2 linked regions of the Canis lupus familiaris genome follow. The protein of the gene in region 2 interacts with the protein of the main gene of each other region in a pairwise test. Links are inferred from orthologs where the notes say so. Each region holds a gene or a part of one and is shown on either strand. Other genes may lie near its edges. The genes, in order: GSTO2 and TFAP2A.

The links.
Region 1: the proteins of TFAP2A (region 2) and GSTO2 interact in binary tests that used the Homo sapiens proteins (3 or more experiments, as listed by UniProt). The two-hybrid records come from large-scale screens. The link is inferred for Canis lupus familiaris from reciprocal best matches to the Homo sapiens genes TFAP2A and GSTO2.

Annotation. Positions count from the first base shown.
Region 1 is NC_049249.1:16,772,271-16,776,788, reverse strand, and holds the start of GSTO2 (glutathione S-transferase omega-2), read right to left. Parts: upstream 3,055-4,518; 5' UTR 2,925-3,054; intron 1-2,924. Other genes in the region: GSTO1 (glutathione S-transferase omega-1), read right to left, coding at 4,470-4,518. UniProt on the Homo sapiens protein: Exhibits glutathione-dependent thiol transferase activity. Has high dehydroascorbate reductase activity and may contribute to the recycling of ascorbic acid. Participates in the biotransformation of inorganic arsenic and reduces monomethylarsonic acid (MMA).
Region 2 is NC_049256.1:11,473,947-11,478,479, reverse strand, and holds the start of TFAP2A (transcription factor AP-2-alpha), read left to right. Parts: upstream 1-1,471; 5' UTR 1,472-1,684; coding exon 1,685-1,735; exon of another isoform or gene 1,736-1,897; intron 1,898-2,779; exon of another isoform or gene 2,780-3,136; intron 3,137-4,288; exon of another isoform or gene 4,289-4,533.

The sequences.
Region 1 (4,518 bases), on a different chromosome or scaffold from region 2:
GTACCTACTTGATAGGTTTTGAATATTGAATGTAATCGTGCACATTCTCAGTATAGTAAAAGCTCAGTGTGTGCACTTGAAAATTAATAACTAATAATAGTGAATAAAAACACATGTTTAATAGCATAGTGCACTCCAATTTTGTACCTAGAAAGATGAAATGCACTGCAATTCTGTTTTGTCAAGTGCATTAGGATGGAAATTCAACTCAGAATACTTCTTTCACCAGTTACCAATTTAATGCCAGTTGAATGGGTTGAATGATGCAGGCTACGTTTCAGTAGTGTGGTTTTTAATCTTACCACTGAATGCTATGGTTTCCCTGGAAAAATTTTAATTATGACCTTTAAACTTATCCCCACTTCCTTTTTTTTTTTTTTTAAGATTTTATTTATTTATTCATGAGAGACACAGACAGAGAGAGGCAGAGACACAGGCAGAGGGAGAAGCAGGCTCCATGCAGGGAGCCTGACGTGGGACTGGATCCTGGGTCTCCAGGATCAGGCCCTGGGCTGAAGGCAGCACCAAACCGCTGAGCCACCGGGCTGCCCTCCCCACTTCCTTTCTAAGAACTGATACGTACCTCTTTGAAATCCTCTACGCAAACTTTCTTTCTTATGTTATTGTATCATGTCTAGACCTCTATTATACTGATTAACTCAAGCAAAAAACAAATAGTAATATGGCCATATGAAACCTACTCTAAAATATTTCTAGCCACCTGAAATATAATCAGATCTGTTTTGAAAATGTGGGAAACTTCAGTCATGGGTAATAATGACTCAAGCCTTCTAGGAAAAGAATGCCACCACAGAAATAGTTTCTTTCTTTTTTTTTTTTTAAGATTTATTTATTTATTCATGATAGACCTAGAGAGAGAGAGAGAGAGAAAGAGAGGCAGAGACACAGGCAGAGGGAGAAGCAGGCTCCATGTTGGGAGCCCGAGGTGGGACTTGATCCTGGGACTCCAGGATCACACCCTGGGCCAAAGGCAGGCGCCAAACCGCCAAGCCACCCAGGGATCCCAGAAATAGTTTCTTTACTCATTACACAAGTCTCTGTTTTAAGGAAAGGAAAGTGGAGTTTGCGTTTTGTAGTTCTTAAAATCTTTTTTTTTTTTTTTCCACATCAGTCTCTGGCAGTGGCAGGAACTGGAGGACATTCTCTTAATATTTCAGAAGCCTAATTTACATGAAAAATTCTGTTACTGGGTGTTCAAAAATTGTTCACCAAGTTCAAAGAGTGAGATAAGTAAGGGAAAAAGCTCTATTTTCAAATAGGTCTAAACTCAGGACTATTTCCAGAAAGTTAGGATCATAAGGAATCCTATGTTCTAATGCCCTTGGAACGTTTTTGTTTCATTTTTATTGAGATATAATTGACATACAGCTCTGTATGAGTTTAAGATACACAACACAATGACTTGATTTACCTAACTGGTATAATTACCACAATAAGTTTAGTTAACATCCATCTCCTCATACAGGTATATAAAAAAATTCTCCCCATGAGATCTTTTAAGATCTACTTTCTTAGCAAATTTCAAATATATCAAACAGTAATGTTAAGTACACTCATCTCATTGTACAGTACATCCCCAGGACTTACTTATCTTATAACTGAAACTGTGTTCCTTTTGACCACCTTTATCAGATCCTACATCCCTCCTCCACGAAACACACACACACACACACACACACACACACACACACACACACATCTGGGACATATCAAATAAAATTACTAAAGTTATCAGAAGCGGAACTTCACCTCCCCATTAGGTAAACCTGAGTCAAAGGAGACTTTTTAAGTACTAGATTCTGCTTTCCGATTCCTATTTCTCTTTACAGCTTGGGGGATCACAGAAAAAAATAAATAAAACATTTTAACATGATAACATTTGAAGGAGCAAAGGCAGATTTTCAAGATCCCGAAAACAGCCAAAGTTAAACACCGTAAAATCAAACAAAACACTAAGTTTGGAAAAGGAACCTCAACACTTCCTGTTAAGTCCCAGACATATGATGTGTCATAAAGTGGATACTATCCTCTCCTGGCTTAACCTCTAAATGCTAGTGACTAAAGACAGACCCAGGTGGAAGCATATGTGAGTTCTTCTCTCTCAAGGACTCTAAGAGCTCAGGCTGGATTTGAATCACCTTTTTCAGCATTACCTAGGTTGGTGACCTTGAGAAACACACATTTTTCTTTCTATGCCCTTTTGATCCCATCCATAATTTGGAGGCAATAGTACCAATATATTCTAGGGCTTGGGGAGGATTAATTCAGATACTGGTTGAGAGGCATTTCATATCTAGTAAGCATCTAACATCAGCTATTATTTTTATTAGTATTGGAACACAGCAGGGAAGTCCCGTAAGTATTCATAAAGTGAAGACATTCCCGGGGACCAAATGCCGCACCTCCCAGTGTCCTGTAATGTAGCTAACCCAGGGGTGCCCAGTGCAGGACTGGGAATCCTGATCTGAGGTCCCCTTTACCTGTCTCCAGCCAAATCAGAACAATAAGAACAATTCAGTGAGGTTTTTTTTTTTTTCTTCCTTTTTACGCTAAAGGGATTCGCTTTAACGACCTATTCTTTAAGTCATAGACCTTGTGCCTTTCTTGATGTTAAAATCTTTGATGAAACTTTGATGAGGTTAAGTCGTCGGATTTTTCTTTTAGAAGGGTTAGGCAAACCCGAAATTCCTGAAAAACCCCCAAATCCAGAATTGACCTCAAGCCCCTTCTCCCTTCCAATGCCTCGCAGACCGGACAGACCACCCCCCCTCCCGCCAGGGACCTCCGCGCCGGGCTGGGGGACCGGACACCGGACCGGGAGCGGCGGCGGCAGCGCGGGGCGGGGGCGGGGGCGGAGGGAGGCGGGGCCCCAGGCGAACCCGCCCCCTAGACCGCGATCCTACCCGCCAACTGGCCGCGGCGCCCGGAGCTCCAGCCAATCCTTAAGGCCTTTGGAAGCTCCGCGGCCGAGCAGTACGCAGCCGAGCCAATGGGCGGCCGCGTTACAGGCTGCTGGACGCCGGAGTCGCGAGGCCTCGCCGTGTCCGTGGCTGGCCGCCGTGGAGGCCCGCTAGTGGCTGGCGGTGGCGCCTCGGCGCGGGGGTCTGCATCCGACCCGGGCCTGGAGGGCGGGGCAGGCGGCCGGCGGCAGAGGTGGGTCCGCCCGGGGCCTGGGCGCTGGGGGCGGCCGAGGGTGGGCTGCGGGAAGCCTTTTGTGAAGTCAACCGGTTCTCACTGCCTCTCGGGGCGCGGCCCCCGGATCGCCTGCATCACGGGGCGCGGGGGGCTCATCTCCAATGTGGACTTGGCGGCGCTCCCTGGACCCACCGAGTGGGGAACCCGGCGGCGAGCCTCGGCTGATTGTTATGCGCTCTTACGTTTCAGAATAAGCAGGGGCGGGCAGCCGGGCCCAGCGGTGCAGCACCCGCCTGCAGCCCCGGGCGTGATCCTGGGACCCGGGATCGAGTCCCGCCTCGGGCTCCTGCATGGAGCCTGCTTCTCCTCTGCCTGTGTCTCTCATGAATAAATAAATCTTTAAAAAACAAAAATAAGTAGGGGAAACCGATGGGGGCGGGTGGACAGCTCCCTGATTTTGATGGGAAGAGTCGTGTGCTGGCTGTGCTCTCCGGATCTCTCTGCCAGCATCTTGCGGACTCAACCTCGGGATCTGGGTGAAATCATCTGTACAATGAAATGATGCTCTCCGACCTGCCTTCTCATGGAGGTGATGGGATGTTAGAAATGAAATAGAAGCCTAGTGGGCTGTGGAAGTATATGCAAGGTGGCGTGAATGTTTTTGAATTACTCATTTAGATTTATACCGAATTGATGGAGGCTGTCCTCACAGTATATAATTACATTTATGGGACCCCTGCTGGGGTATCCTACCCAACACGGGAGTTGGCAGGAAAAATCTGAAGGGGATTGAGATTGGGGACTGGGAGACCAAATAGGACTCCTAGTTACCTGACTTTGAGGTGCTATGAGTCTAGTCTTCAGTGGTGACAATGGGAATAAGAAAGGTAGTGGAGTTGATGGAAAGGAAAGAATGAGGATTGAAGACTTGAGAGAGAGGGCAGCTCTTGAAACGACAGGGTATCCAAGTGGAAATGTCCTGTGGGCAGTAAGAAATCTAGATTGAAGTCCAGTTCTTACCAGAGACGATGACTTAGAGGTTTGCAGCACACACTGATAAAACCCTTAGAATCTTGTGAGCATCGTGAGACAGGAAATGTGCTTACTTTTCTACAGGAGAGCCTCAAGGAAACCCCACAGTTAAGCCATGATGTCAAATCAGAGACGGTGATCCAATGAGACGTGAGAGTGTAAAAATGTGAGATGAGAGAGAGGTAAAATGAAAGCGCATTTTTACTCATATTAGTGAAAGAAAATATCAGACATTTAGTGAAAGAAAATATCAGACATTTCATTGCTGACTCTTGCCCCCATCAGAGCCCATAGTCACAGGCCTCGGGGCTGTTCTGCAAGTAGAGATTG
Region 2 (4,533 bases):
CCCCAAAAAAAAACAACAAAAAAAACAAAACCAGGCCTAGATGGAACTAAAAGTCGTTACCAGAGCAGCTCTGAGGCAGACCCACGTTGGTGCGTTTGCAGTATTCAGGAGGGAGAAAGCCACACAAAAACTTTTATACGGAGTACAAATGAGCAGCTCAGCCAGATAAATTAATTACTCTGTATTTCAAAGGATTACACCTCGTCTTTCTTTATAATTTCTTCTTTAAAACAATTCACTAAAAGAAGGAAAAAAATATATATATATATCAATCCCCGCTGGGGCGAGCAGGTCCCTGCGTGGAGCGGAAAAGCCTGGACTGGCCAATCTGGACTAGGAGGTGGCCCCGGGGCCTCCGGTTCCGCCTCAGCCGGGCACTGCGCCGCCAGCGCGCCCGCTTTAGTAACATCACCAAATCATGAAGGAACTCTCCCTGCTTTAATTAAAAAGGGGGATCTTGGGAAAACTGGAGCAGATTAGCGCAGCGAAGAGTTGGTTCCCAGCGATTTATTTTGATGCATGCATGACACGGAGCACACATGTCGGTTACTTCGGCACAACTCCAGGAGCGGCTGTGAGTCTCCACAGGAGTTCTGTATTTTGTCCACATCGCACCTAGGAAACCCTTAGCCCAAACACCACGTTGAATTATCAGTCAGCCCTGGCTTCATACAAACGAGAGGAAAATCACTTAACCCCTGGAGCTGTCAACTAACCTCTTTAGGGTACAATTTTTATTTTACACGCGGCCAATTAAAGGATCGCAAACCCCAGCCGAGCGACTGGAGCCGTTTGGCAAAATCTTCAACCTGGGAGGGGGGGTGGATTGGGGTGGGGGGGGTGGGAAGAGCAAAGCCAATAAAACTCCCAAGGCGCTGGGGCCCGAGGTGGTGGCTGCAGCGAGCGGAGGCGATCTCTTGTTGGGCAAAAATCCTGGAGTGACTTTGCCGGTCTCGGTTTGATGATTATATTTAATTGCGAAAGGGATAATAATTTCTAATAAAATTGGACGGGGCCGAAAGGACAGCGCGGTTAGCGCGGGCAGGGGTGAGGGAGAGGTGCTGAAAGGCGGGCCCCAGGCGCAGCGGCGCGGACCCTGCACAGCGCCGGGCCCTTGCGGATGGCATCTCCCTGGAGGAGGAGACGGAGGGGGAGAGGACTGGGGTGGAATGGCGCGGCGGCGGGGACCGGGGGTGGCCGGGGCCCGGGCGCACGGCAGGTCTCAGGGGAGATTTCGTCGGCTCGCAGGCGGGCGTGCGCTCTAGGAGCAAGTTCGCGGCTCGGAGAGGCCTTTATACCTGGGTCGGAGCGGCCGGCCGCAGACTGCAGGTGCTGGCGAGCAATTGGACTATTGTTGATATGCTAATGAGGCGATTAGGCTGTTGGTAAAGAGCTGGAAAAGGGAAAAGTTTCTACCATTAGAGGGAGATCTCCGAGCGCACACAGGAGCTCTTTCCCTTCTCGCCTCCTCCTCCTCACCCTCCTCCTCCTCGCCCTCCTCCTCCTCCTCCTCCTCTTTGCCCTCCTCCTCCTCCTCCTCGCCCTCCTCCTCCTCCTCCTCCTCCTCGCCCTCCTCCTCCTCCTCCTGCGCTCACCGCCGGCAGCCCGCACTTTGCGCTTACCCAGAGAGTAGCTCCACTTGGGTGCGAGGCGGAGAAGGGGGCAAATCCGTTCACGCCGATCCATGAAAATGCTTTGGAAACTGACGGATAATATCAAGTACGAGGACTGCGAGGTAAGCGCGGCGCTGGCTCTCCCTGCGGCCGCAGGCTCCGAGCTCTGCTTTCCCGCTCCTCCTCCTCCTCCGCTCGCAGCCAGCTGCGAAATGCGGGTGGGACAAACTTTCCCCAGCGCAGCGCCCGCCTCTCCAATTTGCCCGAAGAACGCAGGGGAGAAGCTGGAGAGGAAGGATGTGGACGCTGTCTTCTTTCATTTCTCTCCTTCGAAGCTCGTGTCCCACTACCCCCCCCCTTTTTTTTTCTGGCCAGTTTGGGGGTCTGCCTAAGAGTGAAGCGAAGACACGAGCATGGGGTTTGGAAGCAGTTGCTGGCAATTGGGCACGCGTCTGTGCACCCTGCGTGTCTCTCCAGCGAGATTGGGGGGGGGGGGCGAATCACCAGGAAGAGAAAGCAAAGAGAAGACCCCCTTTTTTTCCTCCGTAACTTCCGATCTTTACTATTCCTTCATTTATTCATTCTTTGCTTCCTATCGTCCCCCTCCCCTCTTCCTAAAAAGGGAGGCTCTTTTCCGTTTGGAGAAGGGCCCCCCCTCGCACACTTCAGTCTGAGCTGGGTCGCACCTCCCAGTGTTCGGGTTCAGTTTGGAGGCACCCCTCTCCCAAATTGCTGCGGGGCTCGCTCTGTGCTACTGAGGAAGTTCTGAGCAGCGTCTCCCTCTGAGGGACACTCCGAGAGCATCCCCTGGAGCGGAGGTGGGAGGGCTGCACCGCGTGGAGCCGCCTGCCCGCCGGGTCCCCGGGCTTCAGCCCCTGCAGGCGCCCGGCGGTCGGCTGCGTGACCGTGGGAATCCTGGCCGGGCGGCACACGACCTCGGGCGCGCGGATGGAGCGCGCCTCGTTGGAGCCCATTTGCAAACCCGGGGTCTCCGGAGCCCGGCTTCTCGGGGGCACGCCGGGGAAGCCCCAGCACCGCCGGCCCGCCCGCGGGAGGCGCTGGGAGCCGGCCTGGCCGCCGCGGCCCCGGGCTCCCTCGCAGCCCCCGCTGAAATGAGCCGCGGAGTCACGAGAGGGGGAGGGGGCCCGCGGCCGAGGGTTACCTACATAGGTGGTAGTCCCGGCTTTCGCTATTTTTTTTTTCTTTTTCCGTTCTTTTCTTTGAATTTGGCCTTTGGAGCTGGCAATGTGTGGAGCAGAGGTCTGCGCGGGCGCAGCAGCGTGGGTCTTGTCTTCACTTGAAATCAGAACCGGGGTTTGTGCGAACGCTGTGTCCCCGGTTCCCTGCCCCCTCTCCTCTCCGCCGACTATTTTAAATCTTTCTCCTTTCCCGGGCTCTTCCTTTCCGCCCTCCCCTCACCCCAAGGGGCACGGGGTGACACCCCGCGGGGACCGACGCTGCCCTGGGGGCTCCTCCCGCGTGCGCGGTGCGGGGCGCAGGGACCCCAGGGCGCACCAGCCGCTTTGTTTTGAGGCCCGTGGCGGGGGCGAGGGGTGGGGGGTGGGGGGTGGGGTGGGAGGGCTCTGCGAACGGGTCCGAGGGAGCTCCTCCGTCTCGGAGGGCGCACTGTCCCCGCCGGCGCTGTGGCCCGAGGCTCGGGCACGTCACCCTCGCGGAGGCTGGAACCCAGCTGCGGGCGCCGAGCCCTGGGCGGGCGGGGTCCCGACCTCCGCGCGGCTCGGGGCGCCTGGGAGACCTAGGTGGGAGGTGAGGAACTCGAGGGGCCCTGTGGGGGCGCGTGTGAATGTGTGTGTAAGCGAGGCGGAGAGAGGGAACAGAGGGAGGGCTGTTTCAACAACTTTGCGGCGGCGAGCGCCGGAGCAGGGATTTCGGGTTTCCGAGCCGGCTCGGGGCTGTCTAATTACGCCGGGGCTCTGCAGGGACACGCAGGAGGCGAGGTGCCGCGTGTCCTGACAACCCAGCAGGCGGACCGGCAGCGGCGGAGCCCAGCGGCGCAGGGAGAGAGCGAGCCGTGTCACGGGGGTGGGGGGGTGGGGGGGCGTCGGGCAGGAGTGGCCCAGCCAGTCGGACGGGTTTGCGCCGGGAGCCGGGAGCCGGGAGCCGGGAGCCCGTGCCAGCGGCGCCCGGGCTGGGCCGCCGAGCGTCTCCGCGCGCCCCGGGCCGCGTCCCGGCTCCCCCTCCCCGAGCCCCTGCCCCCGAGAGCCCAGGGCGGGGCGGCAGCTGCCGCGGAGCGGACGGCCCGGGCGGTCCGGGGCTGGAGGGGGGCGGGGGGCACCGGGTCATGGAGCAGCGGCGCGGCGGCGGGCCGCCGAACCCCGAGCCCCAGGCCCGGCTGCGCAGCGCAGGAGCCCGCGGCCGCAGCGGGCAGGGCAGCACCGCCCGCGCCGAGAGCCCGATGAATGCCCGGACGCGGGCCCCGGCGGCTCCTGCGCGCGACGCGCGGCCCCCACGGCATCCCGAGGTCTGCCCCAGCCTTTTAGGTCTGATTGTCCTCGCTCGCTTCCTCTGCCCCTCCCCCGCGGCCTCCCCCTGCGTGCGCTCCGGCTCGGCCCCCTCCCCCTCCCTCCCTCCCTCCCTCCCTCTTTCCCTCCCTCCCTTCCTCCTCTCGGGCTCTCCCTCCTTCCCTCCCTCCCCTCTCCCCACTCCGGGCTCCTCTCTCTCACCCACACTTTCTTTCTCACACGCGCACGCACACACATTCTCCCTCTCTGCGCTCTCTCCCTCGGTTTCCCTCTCTCCCTCTTTCTCTTTCACTTTTGCATGCCCTGCAACCTTTTAAAATGTTGCCCCTTCCCTGTGATTCGCCAGACGCCGCGCCGCGGCCCCCCGCGCGCTCGCCCGCTCCCTCTCTCGCCCGCTTTTTGTCTCTCGCGCTCCCTCTCCCCACCTCCGATTTGCT